Linked DNA regions of Macaca fascicularis. The protein of the gene in region 3 interacts with the protein of the main gene of each other region in a pairwise test. Links are inferred from orthologs where the notes say so. Each region holds a gene or a part of one and is shown on either strand. Other genes may lie near its edges.

Region 1 (10,047 bases), about 160 Mb from region 3:
CTAGCACCTCCTCCCAGGCTCCTGGCCAGAATCCTGTCTCTGATCCAGGATACTGGTCAGATACTATCATCCAATGCTAACATTTCCACTTGAGTGACCCCACAGAAATGACATTTTTCCATAAAAAATGCAGGCATACACAGATTGAAAGCATTCTGGAATTTGGGTTACCTAGTTTTTCATGTTTATCTGTGTCTCCTGCATCATCCAGAGGACAGTGAGTATGATGCTTGCATTATCCTTCCCTCTTAATGCCAAAACTCTGCTAATATTCAGAGTGTCTTCAGATAATTGCCTCCCTTTTTCTCCATGTCTTGACTGACTTCCAGGCTTTAGACAAACTCCATTCTAATGCCCACAATCCAAGTCATTCTCTCCATTGTAAACACGATTGTTTCTGTTTAAAATGGGCATAACTGACAAGTAGCAGACAATAACCATCACCTCCAAAAACGCCTGTGTGAGACCCCGTCTGTTCCTGCATGCCCTTCCTCCAAATGTCTCCAACAACAGGGCTGGGTTCCTGGGCTCTGTGAGAATCATTAAGAGTTTATCACACCAGCTAAGACCTTAAGCATTATCTGCAGAGGTAAATGGATCAAGGAAGGAATATGGAGCTAAAATTATTCTGCCTGTTAAGACGGAAGTTCCAACAGAAGCTCAAGTGAAAAATGAATAAAACATAAACAGTACAGAACAGTAATACTTATAGACTATACACACGATGATTAATATAGAACATAAGAATTATTATTCTATACAACTGGCCTATGAACTGTTTTTCCTAAACAATAAAAACTTACAGACATATGAATTAAGGAATGAAGAATCTTTTTTTTGTTTTTGAGACAGAGTCTTGTTCTGTTACCCAGGCTGGAGTACAATGGCATGATCTCGGCTCACTGCAAGCTCCGCCTCCCGGGTTCACGCCATTCTCCTGCCTCAGCCTCCCCAGCAGCTGGGACTACAGGCACATGCCGCCATGCCGGGCTTTTTTGTATTTTTAGTAGAGATGGGGTTTCACCATGTTAGCCAGGATGGTCTCGATCTCCTGACCTCATGATCTACCCGTCTCGGCCTCCCAAAGTGTTGGGATTACAGGTGTAAGCCACTGCGCCCGGCCAAGGAATGAAGAATCTTAAAATCAAGAAAGAACAAAACTTCCTCCGAAGAGGCTATATACCAGACTGCGTCTCCTTCACCTTTTTTAATGCAGACCTTACTGCCAGTGGTAGCAGCCAGAAAATCAAAGAAAGAAGCAACAGAATGTGTAGAAACTTGTTAACTAGAAAATTCAGTGAAAATGAAAGCAGACATTCTCCTATTGAGTTACAATGTAGGCTTCTGTTAATACGGTTTATTTATTCTGCTTTTCATGTTTAAAAAAAAGTTACAAACATCCTGCAGCGGCCTCACAGTCTTTGCCTGTCAGTCCTCTATTACCCCTGGGAAGCCCATACCCCTTTACTAACTCTGCTGCCCAGCGTGCCCCAGCCTGTCATTCTTCTGTCACATTTTGGGAACAAAATAACAATGAAAAGGTCTACATGGTTACTTCTGGGGTTCTGACAATTGCAAAGCATCTCTACCAAATGAAAACAACCTGTAAGACATGTCTGAGCCTCCTCTGATTCTACAAGCATAGAATATGGCAATTAAAACCCGAGGCAAAGGTTTTATGAAAACAAATTCTCCGTAAAACCCAATCACAATATATTCTAAAGACCTAGCCCAGAAGCATATAATCTTTTTTTTTTTTTTTTTTTTTTTTTTTTTGAGATAGTCTTGCACCATCACCCAGGCTGGAGTGCAATGGTGCGATCTCAGCTCACTGCAGCCTCGGCCTCCCAGGTTCAAGCAATTCTCCCGCCTCAGCCTCCAGAGTAGCTGGGATTACAGGTGTTCACCACCATGCCCCGCCAATTTTTTGTAGTTTTTAGTAGAGATGGGGTTTCACTATGTTGGCCAGGCTGGTCTCAAACTCATGAACTCCTGATCCACCTGCCTCGGCCTCCCAAAGTACTGGGATTATAGGTGTGAGCACCGTGCCCAGTTATAAGTATAGATTTTTAAAGGTAGCTTTTAAATTCTCCACTGAAATAGCAATTTTCCTAAATTATCATCTATTTTAATTTTACATTTCTATCTTTTCTTAGCCCCAAATCTTGGTTCCTAATATTAATATCCTTATATGTATCTGTTTGTTCTTTTTATATGTTTTATAATAACAAAAACCCAACATTATCACTAAAAACGTGTTTACAGAAAATGGCTTTTTCCCAGTTCTTTTTCTTGGAGGATACACCTCATTAGGAATGCAGTCAACCAACCAAAGGAAAAAATATACAAACAGGAACTTAATATATAATGAATAGGAAAGCTACTTACTGCTACTCTCAACAACTCCTTTTCTACTTGCTCCAACTTATTCTGTTTTGATGCAGCAGAATAAAGAGCCGTGGCATAGCGACCTTCAATACCGTATACCTGAACAGGAGGCTTTAAAGAAAAGGTGAAATAGGAGAGGAAGCAAAAAGGAAAATCAGTTAATAGTATACTGTCAAGAGCAGAATTTAAAATTTATATTTTAAAAAATATATCGTTTTAACACAAAACAGTTTAAATGTGTCACCCAAGAGCTGCCCTAAATGGCAATTTGCAAGTAAATTAGGGATGTTTCCTTGGTCAGGTCACTCAAATCTTTAAGCCTCCAATTCCTCATCTGTAAAATGAGGGGCTTAGTAAGCAGGGTCTAAAGTCCCTTCCAGGTTTACCTACCTTTATCAATTACTTGTACTTTAATTTTGAGATGAGCTTATGTTTCCTTTAAACTCAGTAACTATTTAGTTTCAAGTATGGGACGTTGTGAACACTGATAGACAGTTTCGAGTATGTTAGAGCTAGGAAAACAGGTGTTTATGAAACACACAAATATACTTTTATACATTTCATACTGACACTATACATTTTCCCTTACATAGCCTCCCTATCGATGTTCAATTTAACAGAGCCCTTTGGCAGTTCACAAAAAACCTGATGCTTGAATTATTTTTCACAGTAAACTACAGACTTTTCTTCTACCATCAGTGTGTAACTACACGTTCTTAGTGGTGCTGTATGGCTGTAGTGGGAAAGCTCAAGCCTGGATGAGAAAGATTTAGTTCCAGTCCAGCTCTAGGACTAAGCTGAGTAACCTCAGGTACATTTTCCCAGGGCTTCAGCTTCCCCTTTTGTAAAACGGGAAGACCAGTTACTCCTGAACACTGTTATGAGGTTTTTAAGCTCTCACATGAAGGACAAAATGATTTTGATCATTTGACTTGAGATTTGGGGCTGGTAATGAGGACAGGACATGATAATTATTTTCCTAAATCCCACCTGATGTGGGTTCATTAAGGACATAGGCTGGTATTATGATCTTTCCTTTACGAAATTTTTCCAAGGGGAGGACTGGCTCACTGTTGATTTGGTGGGGAAAAGTGTGGGTAGGATAGTTGACCCAGCACATCTTAGAAAAGTTCCTGCTTCCTGACAGTTGATTCAATTCTCGATCACAAAGGAACTTTCTTTAATCAAATAAAGAATTTCAAAATAACCTACAGAAATGGAGTCAGACTTCATGTTCCAACAGGGTTGTTACCAGCTGTTAGTCATGTATCATTTGTGGGGGCCTTCTGGGGAACTTCATTTATTATGTGTCACTGATAGTCCTCTTTATCCGGGGTCAACTGGACTACTTCCGGTTTGAAAAGAAAGGGATGGGCAACTCTCTGAAATAGTGAGCCTTCTTTCTCTCCTAGTGGAGAGAAAGAGTGTGAAGAGTATGAATATTCCTAACCAGAATGGAACATAGAGAATTGCAACAGAATTGCATTAGAAACCAAGGTACCTTGATTTTAATATCAACTCCTGTAATAATTTCCTGTGATAACTTGGGCATGTCATTTTGTTAAACCTGTTTCTTTCATTAAAAAATAAGTAAATGTTAGCTTCCCTATTTTAGAGGGTTAATGGAAAAACAAATGATCGAAAAAAAAGTTTTCATATTTAAAGATTATGCATGGGCCTGTCACAAAGCAAGTATTCAACACCATTCCTTTCCACACCCTACGCACACATCACATTTTGGGAACCACAAGTCGTGCAGAAAGGTTTAGATAGTAACTACACAAAAATCCACGTCCTAACTGTACTGCTGTTTGACTAACACTTTCACGTGCTTATCATTACAGAAGAATATAAATTAACATACCCTCACAAGCTTGGCAAACGGTCTGACCACAGAGGTACTGAAACATCGCACCTTGAAGCAATAAAGGAAAATAGATCAAACAAGATTACTCGAAGGATTTCTGCACGTAACTCAGTAACAACATCAACAACAAATTTTTAATGACCTTGAAAGCATTAGTTTTGTCTCTTTGTATCTTCACATGTTACATGAGGATGAGCTACTTATTATTACTAAGGAGTAAACTTACCCAACGAGGATTATCCCAAGTTGCTTGGGAAATCACCTTCTCACTAACCTCCTAGCTCGCTAGGAATGGACCGAGGCTAGCACACCCGTATGACAGAGAAAACACTAACTTCCAAGGAGTGCACGTTTCAAAAATATTTAACCAAAATTCTGGCGTTCCTATTACCACACCCTTGAGCAGATCATTTGCAACAGATGTACCCTTCTCGGAATCCAAATGCTATCTGAAAATAAAGATGAATTTTTTGAGTACTGCCGCAGAGTTTGATCTGACAAGAGGCCCTACCTCTGCGAGACAGTCTTACAGTTTAAAAATCACCTGCAAGCGCACAGGTCACAGATCACAGGTCACCTTCAAATACTTCCAGCTATGGAATGTGTTTTATCCAAACTGCTTGTGAGGATTAAGACTTTGTAATGCTTATGTAAAAATTACCTAAGATGCCAGGAAGGGGTCATGATATGTAAAGCACCATGGTGATATTCAGTACAAAGAGCATACAATTTTTTCAAACTCCATCTTCTGGGTGATTCTGTGGGTTCAAATCTCAATTCTACCACTTACTGGCTGAGCAGTCAAAGACTCATTTAAACTTTTCGGCCTCATTTCATTTATAAAACTGTGAAATGTGTTTTACAAATATTCCTTAGCATTACTAGTAAGTGATCTCTGACAGGTTTTACCACAATGGCAAAGGAAGCTGATTTGGAGGCTAGGCCATGCCCCTTCCCCGGAATTCAGCAAACGGCAGACCCCCTCTCCTGCGCCCCTCAGGCTAGCAGCTTCTTGGGGCTGTGCTCGGAGGATGCCAAGGTCACGGCACGCACAGCCCCGCGCCTTCCGCCCCGTAGGCATCCCGGGGGACAAACGCTGGGTCGTCCTGAGTCGCTCCCACTCGCCGGGTCCCATAACCTTGGAAGACTGCCAGACTTCCCCAACCGAAGCATCGCACCCTGGTGCTCGGGGTTGGGTACCGGTCACCCCAGCAGGGATCCTACCACTGGCTCTCAGGATCATGTTTCTCTCACCTGCCGGGAGAGACCGGACACTCCTGGGGCGGCCATCTTCTCCCGGGCGGCTGTAGGTCAAACCCGAGTGGGAAGAGAGAGGCGCGCAAGAGCGCACGCGCACGTTAGCGTAACCGCTAGGTTCTCTGGGAAGTGTAGGCGTAGGGCGTCAGGCCGCAGGCGCAAAGACCTCCCTCCGGCTGGGAGTTGTAGTTCTTAGCAGTGGTAAGGGCTGGACCCTTGCGGTGAAGCCAGAGGGCTTTAACTGCACGTGAAAATGAAATCATTGTTACTGGCCAAGCGGCCCTCACTGTAGAATGGATTTGCTGTTCCCAGTTTTAAAATTTACATTTAGATAAATATAGTGGTATTTGTTCCATTTCACAGTTATTACCAGTGTCACTGGATTCTTGACTCTTCCTTCCCAGCATGCTAAAGCCTGAATCAATGGCTTTTTTTCACGTTGCACACAAAGACAAAACCAAACCAAAACAAAAAGCCCCCAGGAGCCTTGCAGCTCCAGGAGCGGACACCACGTCCCTCTTACCTGGGCCATGACTACCCATTGTTAAATAAAAAATTATTCAATGATGCTTGTTAAAGCATGGTAAGGAAGACTTTATTCAGGACCATAGCGATGGGTATAGGACCAGTGCAACCGGGTCTGGGAGTGGGCGGAGAGATTGGGCTCAGCTCCGAAAGCAGCACGGACAAATGGGAATTTATGGCCAAGGAGCAGTGTGGGGGTCAGTGGATAGAAAATTACTAAGAGGAAACTGGGGTAAGGGGGATTCTGGCTAAAATGACCTAGAGGAATCTTGTAGAAGACAGGTCAGGGTGATCAGACATCACCTGGGGGATGGTGAAGGATGGGGACCCTGATCAAATATCAAAGATGATCGGTTATCGAAGATTGGGGCTTCTGGCTAAACTGACTTAGCAGTTTGGCTAAAACTGGATTTTACAAGGAGGTGTATAGATAGGCCTCCGAGAAGGTTCAGAAGCCTCACTGAAGTTTGGCCAAGCAAAAGCAAAGAATCTCTGTGGCCCTCCATTCCCCTCCCCTCTCACCCATCTCACCTGAGTATAGAACTGAGCTGTTGGTGTGTGAGGGCAGGTGGGATTCTGATACCTAGATTCTTGATTATGGCTAGGGCAGAGTGGCTAGCCGAGCATCAGGCCTAAAGTAGGAGAACGTGGGTTTGAACAAATTTGATATTGAAACTGAGAACTGGATACTAGCCTTGGATATAGTTTCTCTTCATCCATAAAAACAACCTATCTTCAACCCATTCTCTCTAAATAGAACTCAGTCGAATTTTCTCGTCTGTTGGAGAAGAGACTGGCTGGCAGAGCAAGGGTCAGTATTCCTGTTTATAATAGTGGGGGTTCTGTAATCAACTTAAAAGAAAAGTACTCTGCTCAGATGTATTATAGAAACACGTTAATTCATTATTTTTCACTTTTAGAGAGTAGTTTTCTCATTATTACAATTTTTTTTTTTTTTTTTTGAGACAGGGTCTCACTTTGTCACCCAGGCTGTAGTGCAGTGGCATGATCTCAACTCACTACAACCTCTGCCTCCTGGGTTCAAGTGGTTCTCCTGCCTCAGCCTCCCGAGTAGCTGGGACTGCAGGTGTACACAACCACATCTGGCTAATTTTTCTCTTTTTAGTAGAGATGGGGTTTTGCCATGTTGGCCAGGCTGGTCTCGAACTCCTGACCTCAAGTGATCCGCCTGCCTTGGCTTCCCAAAGTGCTGGGATTAGAGGTGTGAGCCACCACACCCAACTCCCTAAAAACTTTTTAAAATGTAGAGAAAGATAAAGATGTAATTGTCCTCTTTTCTTCCACTCAGAGGCAATTGTTGTAAGTATTTTGGTGTCTTGTTTCTCAACATTTGTTTAGGCTGTGGCCTGAACTACCCTGGCCTGAATCCCAATCAGTTCCTTGGCCCAGTTATATAACTTCTCTGTGCTTCAGTTTTCTTATCTATAAACTGGGTATTATAATAGTATCTGCCTATAGGTCATTAGGAGAAATAAAAAAGTATATATGTAAAGTGCTTAGAACAATTGCCTGACAGAGTAGTACTCATTAATTTGGTCTTTTTTTTTTTTTTTGAGACAATGCCTTGCTCTGTCACCGAGGCTGGAGTGCAGTTGTGTGATCACGACTCACTGCAACCTTGACCTCCTAGGTTCAAGCAATCCTTCCACATTAGCCTCCCCAGTAGTTGGGCCTACAGACACATGCTACCAAGCCTGGCTAATAAAATTTTTTTTTTTTTTTTAGAGATGAGGGTCTCACTATGTTGCCCAGGCTTGTCTCCAACTCCTGGGCTCAAGCAGTCTTCCCACCTCAGCTTCTCAAGTAGCTGGGATTACAAGTGCATGCCACCACACCTGGTTATGTTAGTTCTTTATTTTGTTTGCTTTTGTTATACATACAGATTAACAATCTTTATACAACTTGGTATTTTGCCTTTTTCTTTAATGCAAGAAAGAAAAGGATGCAAAATTACATATGAGTTATGCATTCATGCTTATAATATAAGCCTATTTCCAAATTATAAAAGTTTCTAAGTATCATTTTAATGGCTGCAGGTAGTCCATCCAGTGAATATTCTGCAACTTGATTATTCTATGATTTTTGAACATAATTCAAATGGTTTCCTTTTTTTTTTTTTTTTGCCATTTTAAACAATACCGAATCTCCTAAGCATATTTAGACATAAATTTCTTTTCTTTCTTTCTTTCTTTTTTTTTTTTTTGAGATGGACTTTCGCTCTTGTTGCCCAGGCTGGAGTGCAATGGTGTGATCTCAGCTCACTGCAAACTCTGCCTCCTGGGTTCAAACAATTCTTCTGCCTCAGCCTCCCAAGTAGCTGGGATTACAGGCGTGTGCCACCACACCCGGCTAATTTTTTTGTATTTTTAGTAGAGACGGGGTTTCACCATATTGGCCAGGTTGGTCTCGAACTCCTGACCTCAGGTGATCCACCCGCCTTGGCCTCCCGAAGTGCTGGGATTACAGGCATGAGCCACCGCGCTCAGCCTTCTTTTTTTTTTTTTCTTTGAGAGATGGTGTCAGCTATGTTGCTCTGGAATACAGTGGCTCTTCACAGGCATGATTCCCACTAATGATCGGCAGGGGAGTTTTATTTTATTTTTATTTTCATTTATTGATTTATTTATTTTTTGAGACGGAGTCTCATTCTGTCTCCCCCGCTGGAGTGCAGTGGCCCAATTTCAACTCACTGCAACCTCTGCCTCCGCGGTTCAAGCTATTCTCCTACCTCAGCCTCTAGAGTAGCTGGGATTACAAGTGTGTGCCACCACACCCAGCTAGTTTTTGTATTTTTAGTAGAGATGAGGTTTTGCCATGTTGGCCAGGCTGGTCTTGAACTCTTGACCTCAGGTGATCTGCCCGCCTGGGCCTCCCAAAGTGCTGGGATTACAGGCATGCGCTACCATGCCCGGCCTAAAAATGGTAGTTTTGACCTACTCTGTTTCTGGCTTGGCTGGTTCACCCCCCTTAGGCAACCTTGTGGTCCCCTGCTCCTTGGAGGTCACCATATTGATGCTGAATTTAGTATAGACACCTGACCGGCATAGTGCACCACAGCTGAGAGCTCCTGGACTAAAGCGGTCCTCCTACCTCAGCCTCCCAAGTAGCTGGGACTACAGGTGCACACCACCACGCCCGGTCATTTTTTTTTTTTTTCATATTTAGGAAAATTTCCAAATAGATTTCCAGAATTTACACAACTTGGTGAGAGAATGTGAGTACTTTAACAGCCTCTGATGCATGAGGCCGAGCTGCTTTTCAAAAGTTTTAATCGATTTATAGTTTCTGTAGCAGCACATGAAAATCCTTGTTTCACTCTACTTTGCAAACTTTCAGAGACTATTTTCAAATAAGCCTAATGAAAAGTATTCAGCACATTATTTAACACAATTTAGTGAGCAGCTATTATGTGCAGCCAGCTGTTCTAGTCCCTGAAGCTAGAACAGGATACAAGACACAGTGCCTACCTTTATAAACTTTATATTCTATGAGAAATTAAACTGCAAAACCTGTGTTTTCTGAAGTGTGGGTGTTAACAGATGTAATACAAATAAAAAGTTCTAGGGTCAAATATACTTGGGAAACTCTAGACTCTGAATATAATTGAGATGGTTTCCGTTTTTTATGTTTTTTTTTTTCTATTTTATTTTATTTATTTGCTTATTTTTTGAGACAGGGTCTTACTCTGTTGCCCAGGCTAAAGTGCAGTGGCACAATCATGGCTCACTACAGCCTCAGCCTCCCAGGCTCAAGCAATCCTCCCACCTCAGCCTCCTGAATAGCTGGGACTACATATGCACACAGTCACGCCCAGCTAATTTTGTATTTTGTAGACACAGGTTTTCACCATGTTGCCCAGGCTGGTCTTGAACTCCTGAGCTCAAGTGATTCTCCTGCCTCGGCCTCCCAGAGTGCTGGGATTATAGGTGTGAGCCACCTCACTTGGCACCCCCCCTTTTTTTTTTTTTTTTTTTGCATTTTAAACAATT
Region 2 (10,019 bases), on a different chromosome or scaffold from region 3:
CAGGGGTGTTGAAGATACAGGAGACCTGGGGACATGGGGGGTCACCTGAGATTACAGGGGACAAAACAGGGGCCCCAAACCCAGAGACCATGGGGGCAGAGGCCATGGAGACCCTCAGGCATGGGCCACTGGGGTGAAACCTCAGAGCCTCGTGGGCAAGACCACGGAGACTGGGGGGCCATGGAGGCCACGTAGAAGCAGTGGCTGCTGCTGTGGGAGACGAAGTGGACTGAGTGGAGATTTGGGGACTTAAAGGCACAGAAGGGGACAAAGACTGCCCAGGATGTTGGAGGAGAAAAGCCTCACCTCGCCGGTTGTAGCAGTCGGCGGCCGAGCAGGAGTGAGTGTGGGTGCTGCGGCGATCCGGGTCCCGGTCCCAGCGCGGGGGGAGGATCCGTGTTGGATACACGGGGAAGCCGCACCCGTAGCAGGGGGACGGGGACCCCATCTGTGCCCAGCCCCTGGGGGCGGGCAGGGCTGTGAGGGTCCGAGGGCGAGGCTGGGCCAGGGTGGGGCCAGGGCAGGGAGGGGCAGGGCTGGGGTGGGGCAGGGCTGAGGGGGAGCTGGGGGTCAGCGCCCTCACCGGAAGTTGTGCCGACACTTCGGGCAGTGGAACTCAGCCAGGCCCCACATCTTGTCAGCTGGCACTGGCTCGTAGCGCTTCCGGCATTTCCGGCACCGGGATACCTGGTGGTGGTGGGGGGGGGCGTGCAGAGAGGGGACCAAGGATTGTCAGAGGTGTCTGAGGTTGGGGTCAGGGCTAGAAGTGTGCTGCAGTGGCTGGCCTCAGCTTGAGCAACCCAACTCAATCAGTGACTTCACATGGGTAGCCTCATATTGACCATGGTGGGAATACTTACACCACAGAAATTGGCAAACACTACACATCTTGGCTTCCTGCCTCTTTTGCAAGAACTAGTTAAGCATTGACCAGAAGCGAACTACTGGTCAGGACATTCAGAGGCCAGATTTGGGGCTGTGTTTTTGAGGTCAGATTTGGTTTCTTTTCTTTCTTTCTTTCTTTTTTCAGAGACAGAGTCTCACTCTGTCATCCAGGCTGGAATACAGTGTTGTGATCATGACTCACTGCAGCCTCCACCTCCTAGGCTCAAACGATCCTCCCACCTCAGCCTCCTGAGTAGTTGGGACCACAGGCACACACTGCCACTCCCAGCTAATTAAAAAAATTTTTTTGCCAGACGCAGTGGCTCATGCCTGTAATCCCAGCACTTTGGGAGGCTGAGGCGGTAGATTGCTTGAGCTCAGGAGTGTGAGACCAGCTTGGGCAACATGGCAAAACCCCATCTCCACACACACACAAAATACAAAAATTAGCCAAGTGTGGTGGCGCAGGCCTGTAGTCTCAGTTACTTGGGAGGCTGAGTGGGGAGGATCATCTGAGCCCAGGAGGTGGAGGCTGCAGTGAGATATGATCCCGCCACTGTACTCCAGCCTGGACGACAGGGCGAGACCCCATCTCTTCAAAACAAAAATTTTTTTGGAGCCAGGGTCTCACCCTGTCACCCAGGCTGGTCTCAAACTCCTAGGTTCAAGCAGTCCTCCCCACTTAGCCTCCCAAAGCACTGAGATTGCAGCCATGAGCCACTGCGCCTGGCCAGGTTTGATTTCTGTAGTAGCTGTTCAATTGTGGGGTCAAGGGTCAGGCTCTGGGGTAAGGAGGTATTGGACTTCTCACATTTAAGGTCAGGGGTTGGGATCAAGATGAAGGCTGAGCTCTGAGTTTGGAGGTCAGTGATGGAAATCCTTAGGTCAGAGGTACAGTCACTGAGGATGGGAGTCAGGAGTGGAGTTCGGGACAGTCAAGGTTAAGTTGTGGGTCACTACCTCCTTCCTCTGGGGCACGCGGCGCCACCAGACGTGGTCGCAGGAGGAGCAGGCAAACTGCCGGTCCACAGCAGGGATAAGGTCGTCCTGGGCACGTTGAAACATGCGTAGGTTGGCTTGTGTCAGCGGCAGGAGGGAGGTCGCCACTGCCTGTGGAATGGGGCAGGTGGGGATGAGGTGGAGGGGGGTCACCCCTTCTGCACCAGCATAAGCATCAGCCCTCCTCTCCCTACAGACAAGTCCTCCTCCTGCCCCAGTGAATATCTCCCCTCCTGCCCTAATGGACATCCTTCCGTGCCTGCAGATGTCGCCCTCCCCACTTCCCCATCTCAAGCCCTAGCCGCCAACTCACCTGAATGTCCCGGTCCTGTTTCATATCTTCTGGTGGATCCTGGGTGGAGATAGCAGGGGCAGAAACTGGGATGGGGCTCAGGCCTCTTTTCCACCTGTTTGCTGTGTTGGGAGGGCCCCGGCCGCAAGGAGAATAGGGTGCCCCTAGCTCGCCAGGAGCTCACAGAGCACTGCCCACATATTGAGAGCCAGGTGTGTGGCCTCAGTTGTCCTCATAGCAGCCCTGAGAGGTGGGCACACCTGTTACCTTATTGCTCAGATGGGGAAACTGAGGCTTAGGGGAGGGCTTGCCTGTGAGGCCAGCCTGACCCCCGTACTCACTTCCTGCCTGCAAATGCCACATGCTTGTTGGTGTTGTGACAATATCGCCCCTTTGAGGCCACGTTGTGCTTGGCTAAGTGGTGGGGATCTGGACTGAGAGATGTGGGTTCGAATCCCAGCTCTATCACTTCCAGCTGTGGGGACTTGGACAAGCCACTCCCTGCCTCCTGGGTTCCCACTGACAGGCATGTTAGAGCCCAGACTCTGACTCCAGGTGGCCAGGGTTCAAATCGCAGCTGCCACCTGCTTGCTTCGTGAACCTAGCAAGTGACTTCATCCTCAGTTTGTCTGTGAAATGGGGATAAATAACAGGACCTGTCTCCTGGGGTCACTGTGGCGATGAAATAAATCAATTCCTGGAGTCTTGCCATATGGGAAATACTAAATGAATGCTACCCTCTGCTATTGTTATTATTATATTTTTGAGATGGAGTTTCACTCTTGTCGCCCAGGCTGGAGTGCAATGGCGTGATCTCGGCTGACTGCAACCTCCACCTCCCAGGTTCAAGTGATTCTTCTGCCTCAGCCTCCCAAGTAGCTGGGATTACAAGCATGCACCACCACGCCCAGTTAATTTTTTGTATTTTTAGTAGAGACGGGGTTTCACTATGTTGGCCAGGCTAATCTCGAGCTCCTGACCTCAAGTGATCTGCCCGCCTCAACCTCCCAAAATGCTGGGATTACAGGCGTGAGCCACCGCACCCGGCCCCTCTGCTATCATTTTTATCATACTTTTATATGTATAAATGTAGACTATGATACATATTTTACTATCCTCTGGGTTTTTTTGTTTTTTGTTTTGTTTTTGAGACGGAGTCTTGCTCTGTTGCCCAGGCTGGAGTGCAGTGGCGCGATCTTGGCTCACTGCAAGCTCTGCCTCCCGGGTTTACGCCATTCTCCTGCCTCAGCCTCCTGAGTAGCTGGGACTACAGGCGCCTGCCACTACGCCTGGCTAATTGTTGTTGTTGTTGTTGTTTTGTATTTTTAGTAGAGATGGGGTTTCACCATGTTAGCCAGGATGGTCTTAATCTCCTGACCTCGTGATCTGCCCGCTTTGGCCTCCCAAAGTGCTGGGATTACAGGCGTGAGCCACCGCGCCTGGCCTTTTTTTTTTTTTTGAGACAGAGTTTCGCTCTTGTTGCCCAGGCTGGAGTGCAATGGCGTGATCTTGGCTCACTGCAACCTCTGCCTTCCAGGTTCAAGCGATTCTCCTGCCTCGGCCTCCCGAGTAGCTGGGATTACAGGCATGCGCCACCATGCCCAGCTAATTTTGTATTTTTTAGTAGAGACAGGTTTCTCCATGTTGGTCAGGCTGGTCTCGAACTCCCGACCTCAGGTGATCCGCCCGCCTCAGCCTCCCAAAGTGTTGGGATCGCAGGCGTGAGCCATGGCGCCAGGCCTATTATACTGTAACAGCCCTACACTGAGCCTTTCAGGCAGGCGAAATCCACAGTGTTCCCATCACCAAAGCTTTCGAAGAAGCAAAGTAGCCATGATGCACCTGTGCTTCAAAGCCATTCATTCATTCATTCATTCATTCATTCATTCATTCATTCATTCAACACAAAGGTTCCCTTCCCCTCCCTCTCTCTCCTCCCCAATCCCCTGCTCATCCCAGCCTTTCTAGAGACTGACACTAACAACCCTTCCCCACCTCCCAGCCTTTGCTCATGCCATTCCCTCCCACACCCTAAGGCCCCTGCCTTTCTTTCCCTTTCCCCTCCCAGGGCTCACTCCTCTCCATCCTTTAAGACTTGGTACCTCCTCCTCCAGGAAGTCTTCTCTGATCTCTGCCCCCCCACGATGGCCATAATCCTGACTCCTTTCATTGCCTAGTTTCATGGCTGTCCGCCTTTGAATACAATCAGCGCATAATGAGCGCCTACTGTTTGCAGGCTCCCTGGCCGGACAAACGATAGAGAGGTGAAAAAGTGATATTGGGTGATGAGTTACAGACCGACAATGCCTGGTCCCTCCTGTTTCAGAGAAGTGTCAGTCACCATGAACCGGTCGGGTCCCCCCTCTTGCTGTCCCTCCCGTGACCCGGTCCTTTGCGAGGGGAGGGGACAGGTTACCTGGGCATCCAGATCGTTACTTAGTTCTTGGCCATCTTTTTGCTTTACCCCTGCGGGGGAGAGTGCGTATAAGAGAAGGGCCCTTGAAGGGTCTGTGGGAGTTCCAGGCCACCCAGAGCCGCGATGCAGAGCCTCCCCGAGGCTGGGACCTCCGGGGGAGGTGATCTCAACGCCTCTCCCTAGACCACGCCCCCTCGGCGCTCCCACGCGCGGTCTCCGCACCAGGCCCGGGACCCCAGCAGCCTCACCGTACACGATGGAGCGCCCAACTCCTGTGTGGTCGCTGCCGAATTTCCTCATCAGAGCCCCCGCCTTCTTGGAGGATACCTTCCCATGAAACTTCTCCCGGAGGCGCCGGACGCTCTTCTCCAGCTGGGATGGGGACAGGGGGGTTCCGGTGGGCGAAGGGGAAGCGCGATCGTCCCTCCCCCATCTCTAGGCACCGTTCTCCCGGCCTGAACTTGACCCTTGGTTTTGGCCTCCGCCGCCCCCCCTTTCATCCCTCTACGGCATTTCCTGGAAAAAGCCAAAGTCCCCACATGGCGCTGGGGGAGGGCGCGGACTGAGGCGAGCGTCCCAGCCTAAGGTGGGGGGGCGGCCAGGTTATCTCTGGCCTCTGACCTTTGACCCTGCAGCCCCCGCTTTTCCTCGGAGAGGCCTCATTTCGCTCTGGGGAAACGTGGGAGTCACTTTCCTTTTCAAGGGGGGTGAGCGCCAGGCAGGGGTAAAGATCTGGGGTTCTAGGATGGGGGTCCCCAGGAACTGCGAAGCCCCCTCCGCGCCTCTCGGCCGCTCCTCGGAGTCTGTCGCGTCTGCCCCCGGCCCAGCCGTAGCCATCTCTTACCTCCACACCTTCCTGAGACATGGTGGCGGCGGCGCAGGTCCCCGCGAGGGTCCGCACTGCGCGGTTCAGCCGCCCCCCTACCTGGGCGCGCCCGTCGGTCCAGCAGCCGCGCAGGGCAGGGGGCGGTGCCTCGGGGCCGGCTCCGCCCTTCCTCCCCAGCCCCTGTTTCGCTTTCGATTCAGGGGGGACCGGGCGCGCTGGCTCCGCCCTGGCTCCGCCTCTGCTCTTGCGCCCCAAACCCAGGCGGTCGCCCCGGGTCTGCACCCTGCGGCGGAGCGCGCAGACCTCGGGCGGGGGAGGCGGCGCGGCCTCTGCAGTCGGTCACATGTCCCCACGCTGCGCGGGGTCCGCGTCTTCACGTCCCTCGTGGGGGCGGGGCCGCATCGGAAGGCCGCGGCGAGGCCCCGCGCCCCCCCACCCAGCGCGCGCTCCCCCAGTTCATCACCCTCCTCTCTGTCCTCCCTCCTTCCCCGGGAATCTGGCGCTCATGAGGACCTGGGCGCTTTTCCTGCCCTGAGTCTCTGTCCTAGCTAGGGTCACCTCTCTGAACCTCAGTTTACCCCTCTGTGAAATGGGGAGGATCCTGGTGTCTACACCATGGAGTGGAGTATATGCCAAGATTCCCGAGTGGATCGCGTAATAGCGCCTGGCTTGCAGTAGGCACTCAACTAGTCACTGGGCCACCTGCTGTGTGCCCTTGATAGGGGCAGGCAGTGTGTGTGTGGTTGTGGGGAGCGGTGCTTGAGAAAAACACAGATTCTTGGTCTCTCGTTGCCCGGTAGAATCCGGCTGTCTCAGGGATCCAGGGAATCTGCAATGGTTAAGAACCCCGTGGGCTGGACAGTTCTAACCCAGTACAGGGCGCATCAGGGAGCCGTTAGGTGGTGGGGCTCTGGCCCAGCCTGGGGACACAGAGATGGCTACTTCATTGGAGGAGGGGATGCTTTGTACAGTCACTGAAATTGGAGGTCTTAGCTCGGGGACGAATAGAGTGGGGAGTTGAGGCAGCCGTGCAGAGCCCCCAAAACAAGACTAAGTCTGGGGCTTTCGGGCAAGGGCTTCTCAAGCCCAGCACTCTTGACACTTTGGGCTGCCTGGTTCTTTGTGTGGGGGACTGTTCTGTGTGTTGGGGGACATTTAACAGCATCCCTGGCCACTGCCTGCTAGATGCCAGTGGCTCCTCACTCTCCCTGTTGTGACTACAAAAAATGTCTCCAGAGACTGCCAGATACTCTCTGAGGGGCAAAATAGCATTGTGTTCAACGACTCTAAATTTTTTTCTCCATTGCACACCTCTATAGGTAAAACTGTTAAAATTACACCCCCAGATGGATATTTATTTATTTATTTATCTTTTGAGACAAGGTTTTGCTCTGTTGCCCAGGCTGGAATGCAGTGGTTTGAATACGGCTCACTGCAGCCTCGAACTCCTGGACTCAAACAATCCTCCTACCTCAGCCTCCTAAGTATCTGGGATTACTGGCATATGCCACTATGCCTGGTTAATTTTCAATTTTTTTTTTTTTTTTTTTTTTTTTTTTTTTTTTGTAGAGACGGGGTCTCACTATGTTGCACAGGCTGGTCTCAAACTCCTGGCCTCAAAGATGGATTTTTTAAAAAAATTTATTTATTTGTATTTATTTATTTATTTATTTTTTGAGAAGAGTCTCCCCCTGTGGCCCAGGAATGCAGTGGTGCCATCTCGTCTCACTACAACCTCTGCCTCCCAGGTTCAATCGATTCTGCTGCCCCAGCCTCCCAAGTAGCTGGGATTACAGGTGCACGCCACTACGCCTAGCTAACTTTTGTATTTTAGGTAGAGACGGGGTTTCACTATGTTGGTCAGGCTGGTCTCGAACTCTTGACCTTGTGATCCGCCCGCCTCTGCCTCCCAAAGTGCTGGGATTACAGGTGTGAGCCACTGAGCCCAGCCAGGATATTATTTAAATTATATACAAATACAATTATATCAATATATTCTGTAAATTGTTACATAACAGTATCTTTATTACAGAAATATATATTCTTTTTTTTTTTTTTTTTTTGAGACGGAGTCTCACATTGTTGCCTGGCTGGAGTGCAATGGTATGATCTTGGCTCACTGCAACCTCTGCCTCCCAGGTTCAAGTGATTCTCCTGCCTTTGCCTCCCAAGTAGCTGGGATTACAGGTGCCCGCCACCATCACTGACTAATTTTTTGTATTTTTAGTAGACACGGTGTTTCACTATGTTGGCCACTACATGTGGTCTGGAACCCGTGACCTCATGATCCTCCCGCTTTGGCCTTCCAAAGTGCTGGGATTACAGGCATGAGCCACTGTACCCAGCCAAAATATATGTTCTTTAGGAAACAAAAAATTGTAATCTCAGCTACTTGTGAGGCTGAGGCAGGAGAATTGCTTGAACCTGGGAGATGGAAGTTGCAGTGAGCCAAAATCATGCCATTGCCCTCCAGCCTGGGCAACAAGAGCGAAACTCTGTCTCAAAAAAAAAGAAAGAAAACAGAAAACTGCAGATTCAAAAATATACATGAGGGCTGGGCTTGGTGGCTCATGCCTGTAATCCCAACACTTTGGGAGGCTGAAGCGGGCGGATCACTTGAGGCCAGGAGTTTGAGACTAGCCTGGCCAACATGGGGAAACCCCATCCATACCAAAAATACAAAAATTAGCTGGGCATGGTGGTGCATGCCTGTGATTCCAGCTTCTTGGGAGGCTGAGGTAGCAGAATTGCTTGAATATAGGAGGGAGACATGGCAGTGAGACGAGCTTATGCTAGTGCACTCCAGCATGGGTGACAGGGTGACTTGAAAAAATGTAGAGAGATAAATGAAGCTGGGTATGATGGTTCACACCTGTAATGCTAGCACTTTGGGAGGTCAAGGTGGGGAATCACTTGAGGCCAGGAGTTCAAAACCAGCCTGGGCAATATAGCAAGACCTAGTCTCTTAAAAAAAAAAAAAAAAAAGAAAGAAAGAAAGAAAGAAAGAAAAGAAAAAACTTATTAAAAAAAAAACACTAAAAAACAATAACCCCCCCCAAATCTAGATATTCTAGTGTTTTCTGGTTAAACCCCAAAACTTTGTTTATAGGGTGTATGTACTGCACTCTGGAGACTACTATATTCGCAAACAAAAGCAGTTCATGCTTCTTCGTGGCTGAACGGTGGAATTCTAGGCGGGGATGGGGGCTGGAGACTGCACAGAGGACCTGGGATTTTATCCTGAAGGAAGTGGGAAGGTTTGGAGGGAATCTCCTGTCATAGTTGCCAGTTACTAATCTATTTGCCCAGCGCAGAGGGAGGTCATAGTTATGTCCCATCCACTGGCCGAGATGGGCACTGAGTGGGAAGGAAACAGGTAAGAGTCTGAGCTAGCCCTGACGTAAATCAGATCTGCTAGGCGTTTTGTTTTTTGATTTTTTTTTTTTTTTAGCACAGAATATGCAGAGCAAAGGTCTGTTAGAGCTGGCATTTTTTTTTTTTTTAAGAGACAGGATGGAGTGCAGTGGCACAATCATAGCTCCGCTGCAGCCTCAACCTCCCGAGCTCAAGCAATCCTCCCGCCTTGGCCTTCTGAATAGCTGGGACTGCAGGTGTGTGCCACCACACCCGGCTAATTTGTTTGTTTGTTTATTTTGTTGTTGTTTTGTTTTGTTTTTGTTTTGAGACAGAGTCTTGCTCTGTCACCTAGGTTGCAGTGCAGTGACACGATTTCAACTCACTGCAACCTCTGCTTCCTGGGTTCAAGCAATTCTGCCTAAGCCTCCTGAGTAGCTGGCTAATTTTTATACTTTTTTGTAGAGCTGTGGGTCTCACTGTGTTGCCCAGGCTGGTCTTGAACCCCTGGGCTCAAGTGATCCTGCTGCCTTGGACTCCCAAAATGCTGGGATTTCAGGCGTGAGTCACTGCACCTGGTCAATCCTTATGATTTCATGTAGTCTTTGTGGCTCAGGACTTGAGAAATGGCTTTGCTGGGCTGTTTGCTTTGCTTTTTGCTCAGGACCTCTCAGAAGGTTGCAGTTAAGGAGTTGGCCACGGCTTCGGTCATCGGGAGGTTTGACAGGGGCTGGCGAATCTGCTTCCAAGGTGGCTCACTCCCAGGGCATGCAGATGGGTGCTATGATTGGCGGGATGCCTCGATTCCTCCCAGTATACTTGAGTGGCATGAGTGTACTCCCAGCATGGGAGCTGGCCTCCCGAGCACACCATCTAGGAGCTGAGAGCTAGGTGGAAGTTGTATCTTTTTATGATCTAGCCTGAAAGTCACATAGCATCACTTCTGCCACATTGTGTACATTAAAAGCTCATTGGCTGGGCACAGCAGCTCATGCCTGTAATCTCAGCACTTGGGAGGCCAAGGCAGGAGGATCACTTGAGCTCAGGATTTCAAGACCATCCTGGGCAACATAGTGAGACCTCATCGGTTGGGCGTGGTGGCTCACTCTTGTAACCCCAGCACTTTGCGAGGCCGAAGTGCATGGATCACCTGAGGTCAGGAATTCGAGACCAGCCTGGCTAACCTGGTGAAACCTCGCCTCTACTAAAAATACAAAAATTAGCTGGGCGTGGTGGTGGGTGCCTGT
Region 3 (9,519 bases):
ATAGCGCATACTTTCTAAAGATATAAAGAGAGAATTAGGAAAGCAAAAATGGGAAAAATTAGGGTGAAATTAGGTCCTTATTGGTAAGGAGTGTAATTGCATTCAAAAACAACTGGGGTTAATGAGAATAACAGGAGCTAAGAGTTCCCAGCAGGGTGGGAATATGGTGTATACACCAAAGGAAAGGGCCAGAGAAGAGGAAAGGGGCATCGATAGCATTCGCCATCAAACTGCCCCCAGAAAGGAATGGTAGAAGTTTAGAGCAAGGCCAGCCACCAGTCTAGAGCAACCTGCTCTGAAAGACCAGCCTGTGGGGGATCCCCAATCGGTATCTAAACAGCCAGGGTGCATTGTGGCTTGGGGTGACCAGTCCAAAGTGACTGCACAGGGAGAGAATCACAAGAGGCAGGAGAGCGCGGAAGTGCTCTGTTAGCCACCCAGGAAGCTTACCTTACAGAGTAACCACCCCCTCCGCACCCGCCCCCACCCACAGTGTGACACACTGCTGTCCAGACTGACAGAATTGCAGGAAAAGTACAAGGCCAGCCAGAAGGAGATGGGGCAGCTGCAGATGGAGCAGTGTGAGCTCCTGGAGGACCAGAGGAGGATGCAGGAGGAGCAGGGCCAGCTGCAGGAAGAGCTGCACAGGCTCACACTGCCACTGCCCAAGAGTGGCCTCTTACTCAAGGTAACTCCGCCAGAGGCAGCTGCTAACTGGGGAAGCTGCTCTGAGAAGCTTCCCTGTGTGACTAGGGAAAAATAGAAGGGTGGAGGTTGAACTTTTTCTTCTTCTTACCAATGACTCCTTACTTTCTCACCACTCTCCCCAAACCAAAAAGCTCCATAGAGCCAATTAGAGTTTTTCTTATAAGGGCTTTAAATCTTAAAATACCTTTTATACTCTGGAATCTGTGCAGCAGTTTATATTTAGTTATTTAGTCCATCTGGAGAAAATGCACCTGAAACCACTTTGTAAATGACAAAATATATCCCAACGTAAGAAACCATTGCTACTTTTAGCTGGTCTCCATAGAAAGACTCCCCCTGTCCCCAGATGGGCTCTGTGAAGCCAGCCCTGAGATTCTTCAGGGAATTGTTCACAGCAGGGATGAGGCACCAAGGAGGCATCGGACTTTCTGTGTAACCACCACAATCCCTTGCCTCCTTCCTTCTACTCCGCCTCAGAGTCAGGAGCTACTCACCAAGTTAGAAGACCTGTGTGAGCTGCAGCTGCTCTACCAAGGCATGCAGGAGGAACAGAAGAAGCTGATACAGAACCAGGACTGTGTATTAAAAGAACAATTAGAGATCCACGAAGAGCTGCGACGTTTCAAAGAGTCTCATTTCCAGGAAGTGCTGGAGAATCCCGATGATTCCAAATTGGCTAAGTCCTCAAAATATAATCGAAACAAGGTAACCATAGCAAGAGGTAGGGAGACAGTTCTCCTGAGCACAGCAGCATGACAGGGAGAGTGGGCACTGCTGAAGGGTCAGAGTTGGGAAGGCCTGTTTGGCCAGGGGTAAGGATAAGGCTAAAGCCCTGCCCTTCACCACCTGTGACCTCTTTCAGGCTCCATTAAGAGGTGGCTTTTAGATACAGCCTGAGGACCTCACCTAGATGCCATTATCCTTTATCATATTGATATTCACAGTGCCCAGTTGAAGCACTGTGAGCACTCAGGGCAGAGCTGGGATGACCCAAAATCTGTCATCGGATCATTTGACTCATTCCTAGTAAGATGTATAGTTGGATTCCTTTGGACTGACTCTAAACATGTCATCTTTTTCTTGAGTGGAAAAGTACGGTTCTCAGTTATCAAAATCGTTCACCTTTGGTGTTATCTGTGAGGCAAATTTGGGCCCTTTCATTTCCAAGAGAAGAATTCCTAGCACATGGGGTTCTTAGTACTGACCACACTATCTTCATTGGAACTTTGGTGGCAATAACAGAGCAAGGTCACAGGGGTTAGACCAGAAAATCGATGCCTTTCAAGTACCAGCAAGGGGTCATACCGATGAGGTGACACAGGTGGAGATCACCGTACAATTCTATTCAGGGTTGGGGGCTAAAGTTGTTCTGAGGTCTCAGCGTGGGTGAGGAGGGGCAGGTAGACAGTTTCGGTTTAGGCCGAATCTATTCATTCAGATCTTATTCTGAACAAGGAGAACCAGGGAGTAGCAGAAGTCAACACTGTGAGGCTGGATCATATTCCAGGGGCAGCAGATGTCCAGGCTGCAGGCCTGGGTAACACAGCTGGGAACCAGGTATAAAATATTTCCTTAACTGATCAGATCTCATCCTGGACATCAGCGCCAAGAAGCCAGGCCCAGAGAGCCTGGGAAACATGCCCAGAGGCCAGATTCAGAATTGGGGCAGGAGATACAGGAACTAATAGTGAGACTTTGATTCCAGTTCTTCATATTGCCGCGTTCAAGGCCAGGCTGATTTTACAACTAGGGGTGGGCAGGGAGACTGAGCCTGAAGGTCAGGATAACAGGTATACCTGACTGAGAAGAGGGTGTGATGGGGAGCCAAGGTGTTCTGGAAACCCACTCGGGACTGCTCCAGGGAGACAGGGATGTACCAAAGTGCAGAAACCAGCTGAAATGGGAGCCGGGAAATTATGGAGTATCTGCCCTGGGGATATTTTCCCAAATGAGCAAGAAACTGATACATGCCAGTTACCTGTAGTTTAAGTCAGAGACATAAGCCGGGGTGAGGTGGAAATGTAGGCATGCCATTCTCTAAGGTGTGCTCTCAGACATCTGTACCAGGAAAGGTGCAGCTGGAAGGACTGAAGTGTCACAATAATGATAATGTCTCCCCACCCCTGCCCCCAGCAATCCAAGCTGCTCATGGAGCAGATGCAGGCCCTGCAGGTGCTGTATGAGGCCAGTCAGGCGGAGCAGGAGCTCTTGCAGCAAGAGCAAGGGAGGCTCCTAGAGGAGCGGAAGAGACTGCAGGCAGACTTGCAGCTCTGCCTGGAAGAAATGCAGCTGCTTCAAGTCCAGTCCCCTTCTATAAAAATGAGCCTTGAGTCCTACGGGAAGAGCTATGGTAGCATGGCCCCCAGCAATGAGAACTGCCGTAAGACTTATGATACCACTGTGGATGACAATGAGAGCTATAACAAGAGTTACGCCAGCACCCAGACCAGCAGCGAGAGCTTTCTCAAGAGCTATGACAGCAGCACCAGTGCCAGTGAGGCCTATGGAAAGAGTTACTGCACTACTAGCGACAGCAGCATTACCTATAAGAAGAGTTACGGCAGCACCAGTAGCTCTGACACCTGCCAGAAGAGTTTTGTCAGCAGCTGCACTGACGAGGAACCTGCTGAGCCTGAAGACATGGAGGTAACGGTTGCCAGGTGACAGGTCAGGCAGGGGACGATGGACTCTTGTCTTTTTAAGAGATGCATCACCAGTGGAAGGGACAAGAAGTGTGGGAATGGGGTCAGAGCTGACCTGGGGAACTACTGAAAGTAAGCGAAGCCTTCTACCCATGGCAGCCTGGTCTCCCACTCAGCCCTCTTGTAGAGAGATGCCCCCGTCTGGACAGAGGCCCATAAGATTCAGTCCATTTCCTCACCACAGCCATGGTGCTCTTTAATGGGGGTAAATATAGTATTCCCCCGCGGGCAGCTCTGGATCCTGGTGGCCATTGTTTGGTATCCAGGGAAGGGCCTAGCAGAGTGGGGCGGAGCTTAGGTGCTCCTCAGGGTGCTATTGTTGCTCCCCCACCCTCTGCAGCACTTTGAGGAAATGGTTGCGAAGGTGCTGATCAAGCTGCAGGCGGTGCAGGCCATGTACCAGATAAGCCAGGAGGAACACAGCCAGCTGCAAGAGCAGATGGAAAAGTTACTGGCCAAGCAGAAAGACCTGAAGGAAGAGCTGGATGCCTGTGAAAGGGAGTTCAAGGAGTGCATGGAATGCCTTGAAAAGCCCGTGGCCCCCCAGAACGACAAGAATGAGGTAACCACTGTCAGGGAGGCAGGGTTTCCTCTGGCAGCCCCTGGAGCCAGAGGGGTCATGGCCACTTCAGAGAGGCCAAAGAGAGAGGGACAAAGCAGGGACAGCATGCACCTCAGAGGCTGGGCAGTCTGCTGCATCCCTGATGACATTCCCAAGTGCCCGAGGAGCTGGGGTTTACTGGTCATCAGGATTCCACGTATCAAATGATTTCTTTTTCTCTCTTTGCCACTTCTGTTCTCTCTTTTGCTTTGTGTTCTAGACCACTTCTGTAGAACTGTATTTTTGCATTTGCCAATCTTCTTTCATCACTTTGTGTGCATTTGCCTTGTCTCCTGGTGCACCAACTGGGAGCACCAACTAGATTGTAAGCAGCTCAAGGACAGGGACATGTCTCCTTTTGGATCTCTCACAATGCCAAGAAGAGTGCTCTGCACCCCCTAGGAATGGGACAGAAGTCTTGTGTCTGGCCAGGGGTTCACAGTCCAATGGGGGTCTCTTTGTATACACACGGGAGAGATTCAGAGAGCAGCGAACACATGGGTCCAGATTGGTTAGTATTGGTACCTACTGAGGGGATGGTCATGTTCTGCCATCAGCCAAGGAAGACAAAACCCGAGATCAGGGAGCAGAATGTGACTTGCCTCTGTTTCCAGGGTGAGGTGCAGGAGCCCAGTACACACTTCAGGAGTGTACAACACAGTTCTTTAAGTAATTGTTCCTGTTAGAGAGATGGGTTGGATGAAGTAGGAGTTCCCATAAAAAGAATTCTAGGCCAGGTGCGGTGGCTCGCCCCTGTAAACCCAGCACTTTGGGAGGCCAAGGTGGGTGGATCACCTGAGGTCAGGAGTTCGAGACCAGCTTGGCCAACATGGAGAAACCCCATCTCTACTAAAAATACACAAAATTAGCTGGACATGGTGGCGCATGCCTGTAATGCCAGGTACTCAGGAGGCTGAGGCAGGAGAACCGCTTGAACCCAGGAGGCGGAGTTTGCAGTGAGCCAAGACCACACCATTGCACTCCAGCCTGGGCAACAAGAGCAAAACTCCATCTCAAAAAAAAGAATTCTATCTAATAAATCCCCGAGGTTCAGAATTGATAGCAGCCCTGTTGTTATTCCCCAGTCACAGTAGAAAACACCATTTAAATCATTTTGACCTTCTTTTTTTTTTTTTTTTTTGAGACAGAGTCTCACTCTGTTGCCAGGCTGGAGTTCAGTGGCACGATCTCAGCTCACTGCAACCTCCACCTCCTGGGTTCAAGCGATTCTTCTGTCTCAGCCTCCCAAGTTTCTGGGACTACAGGTGCGCTCCACTAAGCCCAGCGAATGTATTTTTAGTAGACATGGGATTTCACCTTGTTGGCCAGGCTGGTCTCAAACTCCTGACCGCAAGTGATCCGCCCACCTCAGCCTCCCAAAGTGCTGGGATTACACTGGATGGCAAGTGAGCCACCACGCCCTGCCATTTTTTTCATCTTATTAGATGTACGTCATCAGGTGCCTCAAGTTAGGAGAAGCTATTTGTAAAACTATTTGAGAGGCTCATTTTTCACAGTTGAATATTTTCTCTTCCTATGGGCTTTAGCAGGGAGATTTCTGAGACCCCCAAGCAGGGCTGAGGTTGGTTGCATGATCAGCCAACTGGTTGCGTAACCAGCCAACTCTGGGTAACTGGCCCTTCACTACCAACAGATCAAAGAACTGCAGACCAAGCTGCGAGAACTGCAGCTGCAATACCAGGCTAGCATGGATGAGCAGGGGCGGCTTCTGGTAGTGCAAGAGCAGCTGGAGGGGCAGCTGCAGTGCTGCCAGGAGGAGCTCCGCCAGCTCAGGGAGAAGAGGCCCTCTGTTGTCAAAGAAGCCCGGGGGAAGAATGCTAATAAGAACATGAACAAGAACGCCAATGGGGTTAAAATGAAAAAGGTGATCAAGCCGTGCTCGGATACTTCTGAGAGTGACTTTGAGACCAGAAAGGTGAGTAGTAACCTTCGTAGCCAGATAAGCAGAAAGGAGGAGGAGATCCTGGGAAGAAGCATTGTCTCCACCACCCTTTCAACCAGGCAAGGGATTTGTAGAGAAGCTTCTGGGATCTCTGAAGTGTCTACAGTGGTTCCCATCTTAATGGAAAGTGGGTGCTCCCTTTTCCTGTGAAGCTATGGGGAGAGTGGAACACAGACAACTCAGACAACTCACATTGAACACAGACAACTCACATTGGGAGGTACAGCCCTAAAGGACCACAGCCCCTAGGCTGGACAACTCCTTCAGTTCACCCAACCCCATTTGCTGGGGCCCCTGTTCTTCCTGGGTTGCATGCCCAAGAGAAGGACCAAATAGATGAAGAGGGAGGAATTTGTTCAAAGTAGTTGTGTACTAATAAGTGAAAGAGGATTGGGTAAAAAAAGAGTCACTGTAGGGGTGGGAAGCAACAATTTAGGTGCACACCCAAGACTCTTTAGTTCTGGCAGCTGTTTGAAATGGCTTATTGGCCAACAGACATAGTGGTCCTGAGAGGTGAGGTGTGATGCCCTCTACATATGCTCAGAGGATTGGCTCACAGTCCCGGAGCACCGGGCTGCACCCTTGCACTCTGACATGCTGGAAGTCATGTTTCCTGGAGCTAGTACAGCATTGTCATGAGAGTAGGAGCTTCACAGGTAACGCAGCCCTCATCCTGCCCTACTCCCACCCCACAGAGTCTGGAGGTGGTGCTGTACTACAAAGCCAGCCAGAGGAAATTAGATGGACTAGCAAAAGAGGAGGAAAAGAAAGAGGAGATGAAAGAGGAAAAAAAGGAGGAAGTGAAAGAGGAAGCAAAGGAGCAGTGTGGGGATGAGCTAGTTGCTGAGCCAGCAGATCCTGGGGAAGCTAAATCCACAGAAGATCAGGAGGAAAATGAAGAGGACAAAGAGCAAGAGGAGAAGGAAGAAGACAGTGAAGAGGAGGAAGATGACATTGACTCTTCCCTTGAAAGTCCTGAAGAAAACAACCCCCTCAGACTTTCCGAGAGTAAAAAGGTAACCGGAGCCAAAGGCTAGATCAAGTGGGAAGTGGGATCTTGGGCTCAGGTACCTCAGAGTTAATGGGTGGCCCTGCCAAGGATAGATATCTCCAGGAGTGGAGGCCTCGCACTGTAAGGCACGGCCCTTCGGGGAGGTGGAGATGCAGAAGGGGGAGGCGAGAGCAGTCTGTCTGCAGGAAATCACGGGCTCAGCCCCATTTGCTGTGGAACCACCTCACAATGACCACCTTTTCTGGGAACCAACGTGGGGTCCCTGGAGTCCTTTCATTTACATAGTAGCCTTTGTTACCTTCCTTATGTGGGGAGCGTTCCCTCATCCCTCTTTCGGCACTGCAGGAAGGACATTGACAGCGTGAAGTCTACTTCAGGCCATTTTTGTCAGCCTGGGCAAGTCACTCAGTCCGGTTTTCCTATGGTGCCCTGTTAGGTTTAACCTTTGTTGTCGCTGTTAGGGGTGTGTCAGGGGATAATCTCTTCTTTGTAGGCTTGTGTCGCCCCCTGGATTCTGGGTATCACAGGACATGAAGGTGGGGCCTGGGAGTGATCAAGAGTGATAGTGAAAATATTTCACGTCTGTACAGTAGGAGCATAGACTAGTCCAAGGAGACCATCCCTAGCCCTACAGTTGCTAGATCACTGAGAGGTTGGGGTGGAGGTATCCTGGGATATATATGCTAGAATGCCAGGGGTAACTTACCAACAATATAGAAGTACTTCCATATTTTATTAACTGGTACATCTCTGCAGGTATGTAGCAACTGAATTCTTGCCCTGGGCTTAACTCAGGGCCAGAGTCTCTACAGAGTTAGAGTATTTCCTGTGTAAGTCCTCAGCTTACATTACAGGTTCTTTCTGTTCTAAACAGAGGTAAAGAAAAAAGCCTCTTGTCCAGTCAACTCTGAGGATATCTGGAATTTCCGGCAATTGGGTCTTCAGCACTGGCTAAGGATCCAGTGTGCAGTGCTCTGCTTACCTTGTGCCAGGGGACCATTACCTAAGATGTGAAAAGTCGGAGCCACTGCAGCCCCTCCCACTATCATGTTTCCTTGAGCTCATCATATTCCACCATGTGCTGGTTCAGAGCCTTTACCTTCGGTGCCAACATTTCTAAAGCTAGACCTGACTTTTCTACTTCAAATACATTCTATGTTTCTATATATGGAGAGATCCCTTTGCCCCGTGGGTCCTGCGTCTTTTGCAGGCAGCTCTAGGGCATGCGTATTACCACTTTGCAAAAGCAGTTTCTCTCCGGAAGACTGTTGCAGCGAAAGAACTAGCCCTTCTCCCTTGTCAGTTTGTTTTGGTGCATGTTGTTTTACAATGATATCATTAGATTCCTAGGCGATCAAAGGGACAAGAGCCCAAAATACTAAGAAACTTGATGGAAAGCAGGCTAGAACAAAGGGACAGGTGGCCTGGTAGAAGACTGGCTCTTCCTAGAGCAACCTAGGAAAAGTATCTGCACTACTCCACTAAGGAAGCTGTTTACTTTCTGCAGCATCACAAGAAAGGTCTAGGTGCAGATACGTCCTGCTTGACAAGATATGAGAGGTATATGATGAGACAGAAAGAAAACTGGACTCACCGCCTGACTTGGACCTAGCTGCTGCTTAACCCATTCAATTTTGCAATTCCTGCAGACTGCCGGTGGAAAGAACCAAGGCCCAGGCAGCAGAAAAGACATGCAACTGCTCTAGCTTACCTGTTTTTTAACCTCTTGATTCCTTTCTCTTTTCCCTTTGTTTTCTCATCTTCATTATCTGTTGGATCCATGTGTTTATGTCTCACATCTCCTGGTCTCTCCTCGTGCTTCTTTCTCATTTTGGTGTGTTGCAGTCATCCCCTACCCCCGATCCCCCCATCTTCTCCTTGCCTCTTGTAGGCCTGGTGGTCATCTCGGCTTTGCTCTGGTGCTGGTGGGCTGAGACGTCGTCCTAATGCAGGTACTGGTATTGCTTCCTCTCCTTCTGAGGGATAGAGGGAGGGTGCAGGTTGCCCTGGCCTCTCCTCTTTCCCTTTTCTCCCAGCTGCTTGCTTCTTGCTCGTACTATTTTACAACAGGTGATGCTCAGGTCTGAGTTTTAGTTCTGACTTTTCCTTGGGCTACTGCAAAGCCTGTGACATCTCTGAGCATGTCTTTGTAATGCATAGGAGGTTGGAATGCTTGCCAGAGACATGGTTTGAGTTTCAATCCTTGGCTGGGAAAAACTTGGCTAAGCCCAGCTCGGTTGCTACTGTCAAAGCTGCCTCACTACTTCTTTTTCCCCGCTCATCCTCTGTGTGATGGCTAGCCTGACCACTTCTGATGAGCTGATGTTTGTCTGCAAGGCTGGCCTGGACTCTCTTTGTCTTTAACTCCAGAGTCAAGTTCTCACTACTGTTGCTACCCAGGATGGCAAAATAAGGAATCCCTCTTCTGTTGGGGGAGAGAGGAGGTCTGAAGAGCTCTGATCCTCATGATCATCCCAGGGGCACTGGTAGGAGGGCAACCTAAGTTGGTCCGTCAAGCTTGGTGAAATGGAAC

Evidence for each region. The genes of interacting proteins can lie anywhere in the genome.
Region 1: the proteins of CCDC136 (region 3) and ATP5PO interact in binary tests that used the Homo sapiens proteins (3 or more experiments, as listed by UniProt). The two-hybrid records come from large-scale screens. The link is inferred for Macaca fascicularis from reciprocal best matches to the Homo sapiens genes CCDC136 and ATP5PO.
Region 2: the proteins of CCDC136 (region 3) and SHFL interact in binary tests that used the Homo sapiens proteins (3 or more experiments, as listed by UniProt). The two-hybrid records come from large-scale screens. The link is inferred for Macaca fascicularis from reciprocal best matches to the Homo sapiens genes CCDC136 and SHFL.

What each region holds. Positions count from the first base shown.
Region 1 is NC_088377.1:13,009,236-13,019,282, reverse strand, and holds the start of ATP5PO (ATP synthase peripheral stalk subunit OSCP, mitochondrial), read right to left. Parts: upstream 5,569-10,047; 5' UTR 5,546-5,568; coding exon 5,510-5,545; intron 4,304-5,509; coding exon 4,253-4,303; intron 2,500-4,252; coding exon 2,389-2,499; intron 1-2,388. UniProt on the Homo sapiens protein: Subunit OSCP, of the mitochondrial membrane ATP synthase complex (F(1)F(0) ATP synthase or Complex V) that produces ATP from ADP in the presence of a proton gradient across the membrane which is generated by electron transport complexes of the respiratory chain.
Region 2 is NC_088393.1:10,628,500-10,638,518, reverse strand, and holds the start of SHFL (shiftless antiviral inhibitor of ribosomal frameshifting protein), read right to left. Parts: upstream 5,569-10,019; 5' UTR 5,458-5,568; coding exon 5,437-5,457; intron 4,965-5,436; coding exon 4,841-4,964; intron 4,643-4,840; coding exon 4,593-4,642; intron 4,418-4,592; coding exon of another isoform or gene 4,279-4,417; intron 2,237-4,278; coding exon 2,198-2,236; intron 1,996-2,197; coding exon 1,846-1,995; intron 688-1,845; coding exon 584-687; intron 462-583; coding exon 307-461; intron 1-306.
Region 3 is NC_088377.1:170,269,014-170,278,532, forward strand, and holds part of CCDC136 (coiled-coil domain-containing protein 136), read left to right. Parts: intron 1-493; coding exon 494-688; intron 689-1,185; coding exon 1,186-1,413; intron 1,414-2,841; coding exon 2,842-3,354; intron 3,355-3,750; coding exon 3,751-3,972; intron 3,973-5,665; coding exon 5,666-5,947; intron 5,948-6,669; coding exon 6,670-6,990; intron 6,991-7,860; coding exon of another isoform or gene 7,861-7,866; exon of another isoform or gene 7,867-8,493; coding exon of another isoform or gene 8,494-8,598; exon of another isoform or gene 8,599-8,831; coding exon of another isoform or gene 8,832-8,933; exon of another isoform or gene 8,934-8,938; intron 8,939-9,519. UniProt on the Homo sapiens protein: May play a role in acrosome formation in spermatogenesis and in fertilization.